Linked DNA regions of Drosophila melanogaster. The protein of the gene in region 1 interacts with the protein of each later gene in a pairwise test. Each region holds a gene or a part of one and is shown on either strand. Other genes may lie near its edges.

Region 1 (5,073 bases):
AGGGCATGTACAATACGCTGGAGGAGTGGTACAAGTTCATCGAAGAGTCCATTCACGTGCAGGCGGACCTCATCATATATCTGCGCACCTCGCCGGAGGTGGCGTACGAACGCATCCGGCAGCGGGCTCGTTCTGAGGAGAGCTGCGTGCCGCTTAAGTACCTTCAGGAGCTGCATGAGTTGCACGAGGACTGGTTGATACACCAGAGACGACCGCAGTCGTGCAAGGTAGTTTCTACACAAGCTCACATCTACCGAAGCCGCTAAATATGCATTTTTCCTCAGGTCCTAGTCCTCGATGCCGATCTGAACCTGGAAAACATTGGCACCGAGTACCAGCGCTCGGAGAGCAGCATATTCGACGCCATCTCAAGTAACCAACAGCCCTCGCCGGTTCTGGTGTCGCCCAGCAAGCGCCAGAGGGTCGCCAGATAACCATTATCCCATTAGTACCTAATTGTGTGTAGTACAGACGTTTAAAATAATATTATAAGAGGCCTAGACGAGCCGATTCGCGGGACAAAGGCAGAAACTTACACTTCGAGCCAATGATTAACACATTCGTATATTAACAATTATAATCCACATTATATTCTCTTCACAGCAACTAGTATGTAAGCTCAAAATATTGTAATAAAAACTGTGAATGTTTATGTTAAAGGCAAGGCACCTACTATTTTTGTGTTAGCATTTCAGTTCACTTGCATTTTAACTATATTGTGTTGGACAATGAAATCATTAAATGCCTTCTCTAGCATTGATTTTTGTTATCTTTTTCTGAAGCGGGGTTTTTTAAAGTCATAATAATGTGTGCACCGTAAAAGCGGCGTGATCTTATGCCTGCTGAACTCTAATGTGACTGCATGCGCTTCTCATTACTGACCTAAATATATATACTTTATTTCTCTATTGACTTCCACCCACAAAGACAACCATTTGTTGAGTCAACTTGCTTTATATAAATGTATATAATTAATTGTTTTCGCTATCGGGCTTACTTAAATGCTACAGCTTAATTAGGACATCGCAAGGAGAGCACTCCATCTGTGCTGTGAACGTTGATGCCGTTCCTGAGGGCGTTCACTTGGGTCCGTTCATGATTCCTGGACGGACGCCGGGTATAGTGCCCAGTGGAGGCGGTGGTCCCATCATGGCCATGGGATTCATAATCGGTGGCGGACGCATGCCCATCATGGGGTTCATCAGTGGAGGCATATAGGGCATTCCAGGCATTCCCGGACGCGGAGGAGCCCCCATGTTGGGCGGCGGAATGGACACGCCCGCCGGCTTGGGAGGCGCTCCTCCTGGCCCGCCGGCAAACGGATTGTTCGTGATCTTGCCCGCTTTGAAGGCGGCGGTAGTGGCGTCAATCAAATGCTGCGCCTGTTCCTCCATCCACTTTTGGTAGTAGAACTTTACATTGTCGCGATGCTTGCGGCCGGTGCAGTGGGTTTTCCGCACCGAGGGCGAGTCGTGGGTCAAGTAGGTGTCGCAGTAGTCGCAATAGTACTTTGGCATTGCACTAATTTATTTATCTTAGCTAAGGAAATTCGGTTCACTGTAGTTTTATTTATTATTTTTCGCAGTCGTATGACCGTATTTCGACAAGGGTGATAAGCTACTGAGACATGCTGCTGTCTGGCAACTCTGCCGCTGTGTATATCGATATGTTTAACAGCAACATTCAGCTTGAAACTCATGGAGATATTTGATTTGGGTTTGTCAGCTTGCATTTTATATTTATTTATATATTCAAACAGATACAACATAAAAATAAATATAAATCATGCATTATATATTAATGTTTTGTGTTGAATGCCCACTGTGCACTGTTAAGTGTTACAGCAGGTAACACACTGTTAGTGTGTGCAGTGTGTCCTGACTAAGCTAAGCAGAGTTTTGAACCCTAGTCGGTGACATACTCAAGCAGCTTGGACGAACGGTCACACGGGCAGATGATTTATCTGCGACTTCACTGCCCTTGCCATGTATTGGGCACACTGGCAGTTATTTTGAAACCGGCGAAATACGAAGACGTCAGCGCGGACGGTCGGTTTTTGTAATTTTGCCGGCTAACACACCTTTCGAACGACGCGTAACGGTGGCCGGGCCATTAAAATCGCCACAACCACGGGCAATTCGAGTGCGGCGCGCTAATTATGCAAGGCTGAGAACTAGCCACAAAAATTTGGGGGGCAGCAATAAACCAGTTGATTTAAACTAGTTTGTGAGTGCGTGTGAAAAGGCCAAGGAATTTGGCCGAAAGTAGTAGACAATAGCTAGGAGGCTGCGACTGCGGAGGATTCAAGTCCAGAAGTTGTCCGACCAGTTTTCGGTGCCCGTGTGCTCGTGTGTGTGTGTGTGTGTCGGGATTACTTGGATTACCTTTTATTTTATGTTGGCCGGTGCCTTCGAAGCGGAGCGAATGAGTTGGAGCAGCTAGTGGCCGCCAGAGAGATCAAGAGTGCGAGAGCCAGCGAGAGATGCCCTTCGTCCAGCGCGTGGTGCAGCCCGTCAATGTGGCCCAGGCCACGGCGGCCAGTTTGGGCCACGCATCCGGACGATTCCACTGCACGCCGGGCAAGTGCCGGAACAACAACTGCATTAACAAGCAGTCGCCGGATGTAGAGGTCCCCAATGGCCACGGATCACCCACATCCCTTACCAGGGTTCTGGTTCACCAGGCGCCGGAGGATCAACCCGTACCGCCCGCTCCGGCGCCCATGAAGAAGCTAAAGCACCACGTCGAGTTCCTGTCCACCTCGCCCACTCGCCATCAGTCGCAATCCCTGCCCAATTCGCGGCATCCCAGCCAGCAGAGGCCGGCGCTTGGAAGGATCGCCAGTGCACCGCAGTCGCCCACTGCCGGCTCCTCCAAGGTGGTCTCCGGCCACGAGTTCGACTCGATCAGCAACATAACGCTGAGCAACGCCCTGCGGCAGCTGGCCAGCTTGGTCCTCATAGCCAGCGATATCTTCGACGACCTGCAGCGGGATCTGCAGGCGGTGGGCGAGCGGGCGGGTCGTGTGCAGCGGAAGATTGCCGCCGTGGAGCGACGCGTCTGTGCCTACGATCCGAAAACGGTCACAGTTCGTAAGTAGACCCATTCATCTTATGCCCTATTCAATTCTAGCTAGGATCTACATAAGTGGGAGCTCCCCCAATGTGTGTGTGTGTATTCCTCACACGATTCGCGCTCAAAGTCAAGTGCGTTATCACGGACAGCTTATCGCCCGTCATCTGCCGCTTTGTATGCGTGGAGTAGCTTCTGTGTGGGTGGCTGTGTTTGGCGGAGAACGTGCTCCAATCTTATCTGCTTTCGCAACACGCGGGGAATTCAATTTGCAAAGGCGCAAAAGGGAGGAGAAGCAAAAATAAGTCAGTGGGGGAATTGGGGAGCAGGTCTCGCTATACCCTATAGCAAAGTTTTTTCACTGGGGCTAATTAGAAACAGACGCATATTAACATATTAGATTAATATTTTAATATTTTCTAAAACAATTGATTTTATTGTTTCCTTTTCTGTTTTTGAAAAAGTTAAAATTAATAAACATATTTATTGTGTTCTAAGAATTTAAATGATATTTACTAGCGCTGGACTTACTATTTAATTTGATTGCAAGCAATACTAAAATATAATCATAATATATACACATGTATATTAAACTCCTCCTGAAATCGCCATACCCTGGGAATACCCTTTTTCTGAGCATCTCGGTGAAAAGAAACCGAGGGAATACCGAACCAGTGGAAATTAACACCTTGTTTACTTTGTCGCCTCCGCTGTTTGGGGCTCCACTCCGATCGCCCGATTGCCCCTTTGCCCATCCTGCCATTATTCCATCATGCAGAGTGTGAGTGGGTGGGTGGGACTGGGTGGGGCTGGGTGGCCTGTGTTCATGCAATTAGCTTCTTGCCCGCGTCCAGCAGAGGCTTCTACAATTACCAACGAGCTACGAGCACTTAGATAAGCGGTCTAAAGTCGTTTGGCTCATTGTTTTCGCGACCTTGTGTTAAATACCTTCCCAACACGAATGGCCATTTATGTGGCAAGTGCTGCAGTTGTTGTTGCTGTTGTTCTAGTTGCAACAGCAACAGGTTATCCGCAGTGGCTGTCAAACTTCGTGATATGCCCAAATCCGAATATATTTTCTCGTCTATCCGCATTTTAGCACTTTGCTTCGCTCGGCACTTTATCGCCTTTACATTTTTGTTTTCTGCTTGCAATCCGAATTTTGTTTTTCGCTTGAAAAACGTTCAATAACTTTATGAAATCTCAACGGCAGACTGGCGACGACGCTGACTGCAGCTTTTTCACTCCGACTTGATATTGTTTTGTTGCCATTATTATTGTGCACTTGGCTGCAGACTTGGGCTGTGCGCGGAGCTCGACGTGGCGTACGATCCCATTGTCAGCTGTCATTTTGCAAGAGCTCACTTTGTTTACGCCAGCCCCTCTGCCGCTGGCTTTTGGCTCCTTGTCAGCTGCCCGAGGAGAGCAAAAACCCAGAAAAAATAACACGAAAACAGCAGCTGCTGCTCTTTGGGCTACTGCATGCGCAATCGAAAACGTCGCACTAATTGCTCAGGTATGAAGCCCAGGAAAAACAAGAGCACCACACTCGGTCTTCTACATATGCGCGTACAGCTGAGGGCACAAAAATAGCAATAATAATAGTTTTAGGCTCATTAAGTACTGCGAATCTCCACAAAAATTGGAAACATAATCCACAATGTATGTGGATTTTTATATGACCTTAAAAATTTTGTATTATGATAATGGCACTAATATAGTTATCAATATTCTTAAAGTATAGTTTAATAATAAATACATATGTATATATTCTGTAGTTAGGCGTCTCTTTCCCTTTGTCTATTGTTGTTAAATACAATTGCTCTTTGAGTATTTCGCAAACAACATTTTAAAAATAAATTATCAAGGATAGACACTTTTCTTCTTAGACTTGTGTTCAATTATTTTATTTTACATGTCATGGTTATCTAAAAATATGCGCCCAGGTGATAGATAGCCTTCAAAACGGGCGAGCACATAAAATTGCTTCTAATACTTAAA
Region 2 (4,877 bases), on another chromosome or scaffold:
TTACTCATACGCAGTGTTATTCGGTTGCACAGTAGTAGTGCTTTCAAACGCAGTTGAAATGTTTTCAGTGTTATTACAGCATAACAGATTCAATGCAAATATGTTCAACAAAAGCGGGAAAGAGACGGAAAGAGACTGGAATCTAACCTCAAGTTTGATACTATACCCAAAACACACACACACACACATACGTTTCGGGTGTTTGGGATGCGGCTAATACCTTGTTAATTATTTCACACGCACACACATGCATACACCACCTCAAATTCCCTTGGGTGGACCTTAACTGTGGGTTGATTTCAAGGCTGTGAACTCTTTTTATCGTAATACATGTGACCCATATCTATCATAAGAAAAATCAAGTACTGGCATCGTGTTTAAAAACTCTCTTCTTCAATTTAGTTTAGCTTTCCTTCTAAACTAGCAGAGCGACGTGACTGATCATGTTCTGTCGAAGTGCGACCCTGCGAGTTTTTAAGTTAAGGTCCACCCTTGTGTTTGGCCATACAAAAGCTCCTGTTTTCTAACGTGTCACGTGTTTGGCTTGTTTGCATTTGAGTTTGTGTGTGCTTGTTAGCCGTTTAACATTTCTGACACGCCAAGCGCAGCCACTGAAACTGTAACGATAACGGGAGAAGAGGAAGCACCAGCGGGATACGCCGAACAAGAGGAATAGGGACAAGAAGAACCAAAACAATGGGAAGAATGGAAAGAGGTAGGGGGAGAGGACCCAAGCGAAACGAAACGAAAAGGATTATGCAACTGCCACTGACAGCGGGCAACACAATTTGCACCCAGGGGTCCAATAGAAAGGGACGGGGTCACAGAGCGAGACGCGGAGCGAGCGGGAGAGAGCCATAGGGGACTAGAATGAGATGGAGCACGGCGGTAGAGCAGAACTTTTGCAAATTATACAACAGGCAAGACCCACAAAACAGACAACTGCAAACCAACCGCCCGTCTCGAAATGGATGGACATATGGACAGAGAGAGATGAGAGGCGGATACGTTGCTGAAAAAAAGAAAAGATGGGCGAGCAAAAAAAAAAGTGTACTGCAAACAGTGCTGCCAAAAATCCAAAAGTAGCTAAGAGCTAATCCAGACAAAACTGTCAAATGAGAAAAACAAGCTGTCAAATCTTGGGCAAAAATGTCTCAATAAATGGGAACGGCTTAAAAAACTGCTTAAATATACAATGATAAGGCAACAATGGCAGGGAAATTAACTTTTCTTAATAGGAAAGTATTTAGTTATAGTGATAATTAGGTTCATCTTAAGCTTGAGACTATAGGTAATATGAGGGAAACCAACAAGTTGCTAGTGAAAATCAATGGCTCCTTCGCCATATGCCACCAAAATGCACTCCATGATGCAACTGGAGCACTAATCAGGCCGTCTATCGACCCTTTTGAGTAACCAGAGTCGGTAAAGAAAAAAAAAACAAGCTGAATTAGCCGCATTACTATGGGACGCTTGCTGTTTCCATTGCGCTGCGCTGCTTGGTCTATTTGACCCAAATCCTATGCAATATTATCGTTTTGCTGTCGCTGTTGCTGCAATTCCCTTTGTTGCTACTTTGTGCTCACTGCTTGCTTGTCAAGTGAAAATAATTTGCAACGCGAGGGGAGGGACAAGAAAATCGATAGGCGATAGGCAATGGACGATAGACAACTGCACAGATAAGAACTACTTTTCAAGGATCTTTCTTTCCGGCTCATCAACTACTTTCTAACAATCTTGGCACAAAGTTCGCAACTTTGTTTGCGTTTAAAGTTTCAGAATCAATAGACGATGATGATGAGCTTGGTTAAGGCTCTTGCTTATAACGAACTTGTGAAAAACTTATTTAGCACACTGACCTATATAATAAAGTATTTCACAAAAATGCACTTATCTAGCGGCAATTATTTAGATATTTTTAAAGGCAAAAACTTACGAGCGACGCGAATAGCGTCTAAGATATACATATAGGATATTTTCATCGATTTAATCGATACATTATCGATTACTCACCTAACAGCGCTTGAAACAAGCGAGATTTAAATATGCGTATAACGCGTTCGATTGCAATACGCAGCGCCCGATCCTGCGGCTCCGAAAGTCTCGCGTGGTAGTCCTCGAGCAGCTCGAGAGCCCGATGAGCTTCTGAAATATATAGAGAAAAGAATATGGTTAGTACAAATGATCTTCGATTGTTTTATTATGAAATCAACCCAAAAGACCAAGGGATTCTGCCTGCCCATTTTTCCCCACTGGATTAGTGCCTACTCTGTATGTCCGCAATGCGCTCCTCCTCATCCTGACTGATCGCCAGACCCGCCTGGCCGAAGATCGTTGACCAGAAGCCCCTCTCGGAACCCTGTTCCGAACCACTTTCCCCAGCCGCATCCTGTACGTGGGATCTCTGCTTGGGCTTTGGCTTCGCCTTGCTCTTGGCCTTCAACTGCAGCTCCGATTGCGATTTCTCGAGACTTTCCCGCTCGAGAGTCTCGATCATGGTGCGAAATCGGCTCAGTTCCATGCGCAAACCCTCGGCACTGTGGCGACTCGACGAAGAGACGGAGAGTCCGGAAATGCCGGAGAGAAGGCGACAACGGGCTGCGCCCGAGGATGACGACGACGGACCCTCCCACTCGTCGCGCGAAGCATCGCTCTCGGACTTCTCAAAGTAGCCAGACTCCACATCCGGTGTTCGGACCATCGAAGTGGAGGACAGCATGTGTCCGTACTCGAGAAGATCCTGGGCGGAATAGAAGCATTCAACGGACTCGCGGACACTATCGCGCAGGGATGTTGGACACTTCGGAGGCTCGGGATCCGGTTCGGTTACGGTCTCCATTTGGTGTTCCATCACCTCCAGTTGCGAATCCCCATCCATATCGCTAGCTTTGGCAGCTACTGCCACCGGATTGGTATCATCGATTTCTTGGCGCACTTCTATGGCTTCCGCCGACGGCTGTACCAAGACCACCAAAGGTGGCTGGTCTTGGTCGCAGCGAATCTGTGCCTTCTTCTGCGGCAGCAGGCACTCCTCCTCCTCGGGCTCCTCCTCATCGTCCGCCGGAGAGGAATCCTCCGCCGGTTCATCATCGTCGTGGAATGTCTTGTCATCGCTACTGAGCAGTCCCTCGTTGGGATCGCTGCTCTTCTCCCGCTCCGAGTCCGTATCCGAATCCATTACCAGGACCAGCCAAGAAGACACCTCTCTTCGCGCCCAAGTGCCGCACTCAACTGGCTAGACTTTTGAGCTCTATTATGGTTCTATAGTTTGGTGGCTGCTACCGCCGATAAATCAATAAAGATTGACGCTTTTTAAACATTTTTCACCGCTTGTCGGACGCCAGTTATTAACGCTTTTTTTTTTTTGTTTTTTTGTTTCCATGAAGGGTGTGTGCCTAAAATTCCCCATCCTAAATGCTTTAACTTGAAAATCTGAATAGCAACGAAGTTGTGTGTTGCTGCGCATAGTTTGATGTCCCCATGCGAAGAGGTCAGGGGTCAAGTGCCATACCGTCGCTGGCTTGTCATTCGTGCCGCGTTTGCCAAAAAATTAAACACATAATTTATTATTATAATCGAGTCGCATTATGGTCCCAAAACACACGCACACACACACACATACAGAGCACACAAACCAAACTATACATACTCGTATCTAAATGAACATTGTATCTGTGGCCGCAGTTTGATGTCCTCAGCACGCGTCAAACGCCGACGTTGACCTTCACTGACCATTTGCGAGGCTGCTGGCAGCGCTTTTCCCCGGTTTTCCCATTTTCCGTCTGCTGCGGCTCCTCTCTTTCCCCCTCCCCCTTCCCCCTTCCGCACCATTTCATTTCATCTCTTCTGTTGGCCATTTGAGTTGCCCAAATATGATTTGTATGTGACATAATCAAATAAAATTCTTTGTCTGCATTAATTTAGCTGGTTTTTTATGTATTTTTTTTTTTTTTTTTTGTTGCATAGCTTCCAATGCACAGTTGGATACATTGTTTGTTTGGCCAAAAGTGCCATCTCGTGTGTAATTGGAAGCAGCTTTGCTGGCTAACTTTGCGCAGCACGTAAAAGTTAAATGATCTACTAAAATTACAATTGAAAAACTAATGCCAACTTTCTATATACTATATGGTGCTTAAAACTTTCACCAGCAAATCAATGCAGTTTTGCATAGACATAGCTTTTTTAATAGGTTCTAACTTTATTTCACAATAGTTAAGGTTATTTTTCTAAATTTGTTATGCATAGAATTATGTAAAATGTGATCTTAAACCATTGTGTTAAGTTTTAAACTACTTTTTCAATTGCTGAAAACTGGCAAACAGTTTTCACTGTCCACCATTCATAAGGTCCATTCAATTGAATGGATTTCCACGTAATGCCAAAGACAGATATGTAGAACAGAAAATAAAAAAAGAAGAAGAAGGAGGGAAAGGTGGGAAAGGTGGGCAGTGAATAAAAGTGCAATTTTTCGCTTACCTTGCTTTTTCACTGGCATTCTGTGAGCGGTGTTTCTGCTACTATTTATGGTGGTGCTGGTGGAAATGGCAGCGGAAATGGCGGTGGTGCAGCAGCTTTGATTGTGGTTCAACGCCGCCGAACTGGGAAAAGCGTGGGTCGCAATTTTGAGAATTTACTGGAGTCGCTTTCGAGTGGAAATGTGCGGAAAAATCGCTTTGGCTTTTCCTTGAGTTCTCCTCCTTTTAGTTTCGCCAGCACATCTGTATATATATCTGATATATATGTATATATATATATATACTATTCGATGGTGTTTTATGTACAAATATTGTTTTGTTAGATACTTTGGCTTTCGAACAAAGTTCGAGATTTGTTGTTTTTTTTTTAATTTTGCGCTTTCAGTTTGCTAGTTTATTTTT

Evidence for each region.
Region 2: the proteins of gukh (region 1) and dlg1 interact in a two-hybrid assay, tested with the Drosophila melanogaster proteins (4 studies listed by BioGRID).

The regions. Positions count from the first base shown.
Region 1 is NT_033777.3:18,982,024-18,987,096, forward strand, and holds the start of gukh (GUK-holder), read left to right. Parts: upstream 1-2,001; 5' UTR 2,002-2,482; coding exon 2,483-3,092; intron 3,093-5,073. Other genes in the region: dnk (deoxyribonucleoside kinase), read left to right, coding at 1-227, 285-434; snRNP-U1-C (small ribonucleoprotein particle U1 subunit C), read right to left, coding at 1,080-1,517.
Region 2 is NC_004354.4:11,374,110-11,378,986, reverse strand, and holds the start of dlg1 (discs large 1), read right to left. Parts: upstream 3,225-4,877; 5' UTR 3,179-3,224; coding exon 2,269-3,178; intron 2,146-2,268; coding exon 2,014-2,145; intron 1-2,013. UniProt on the Drosophila melanogaster protein: During embryonic development, some isoforms are essential for proper neuronal differentiation and organization. Required for cell polarity; maintenance of apicobasal polarity.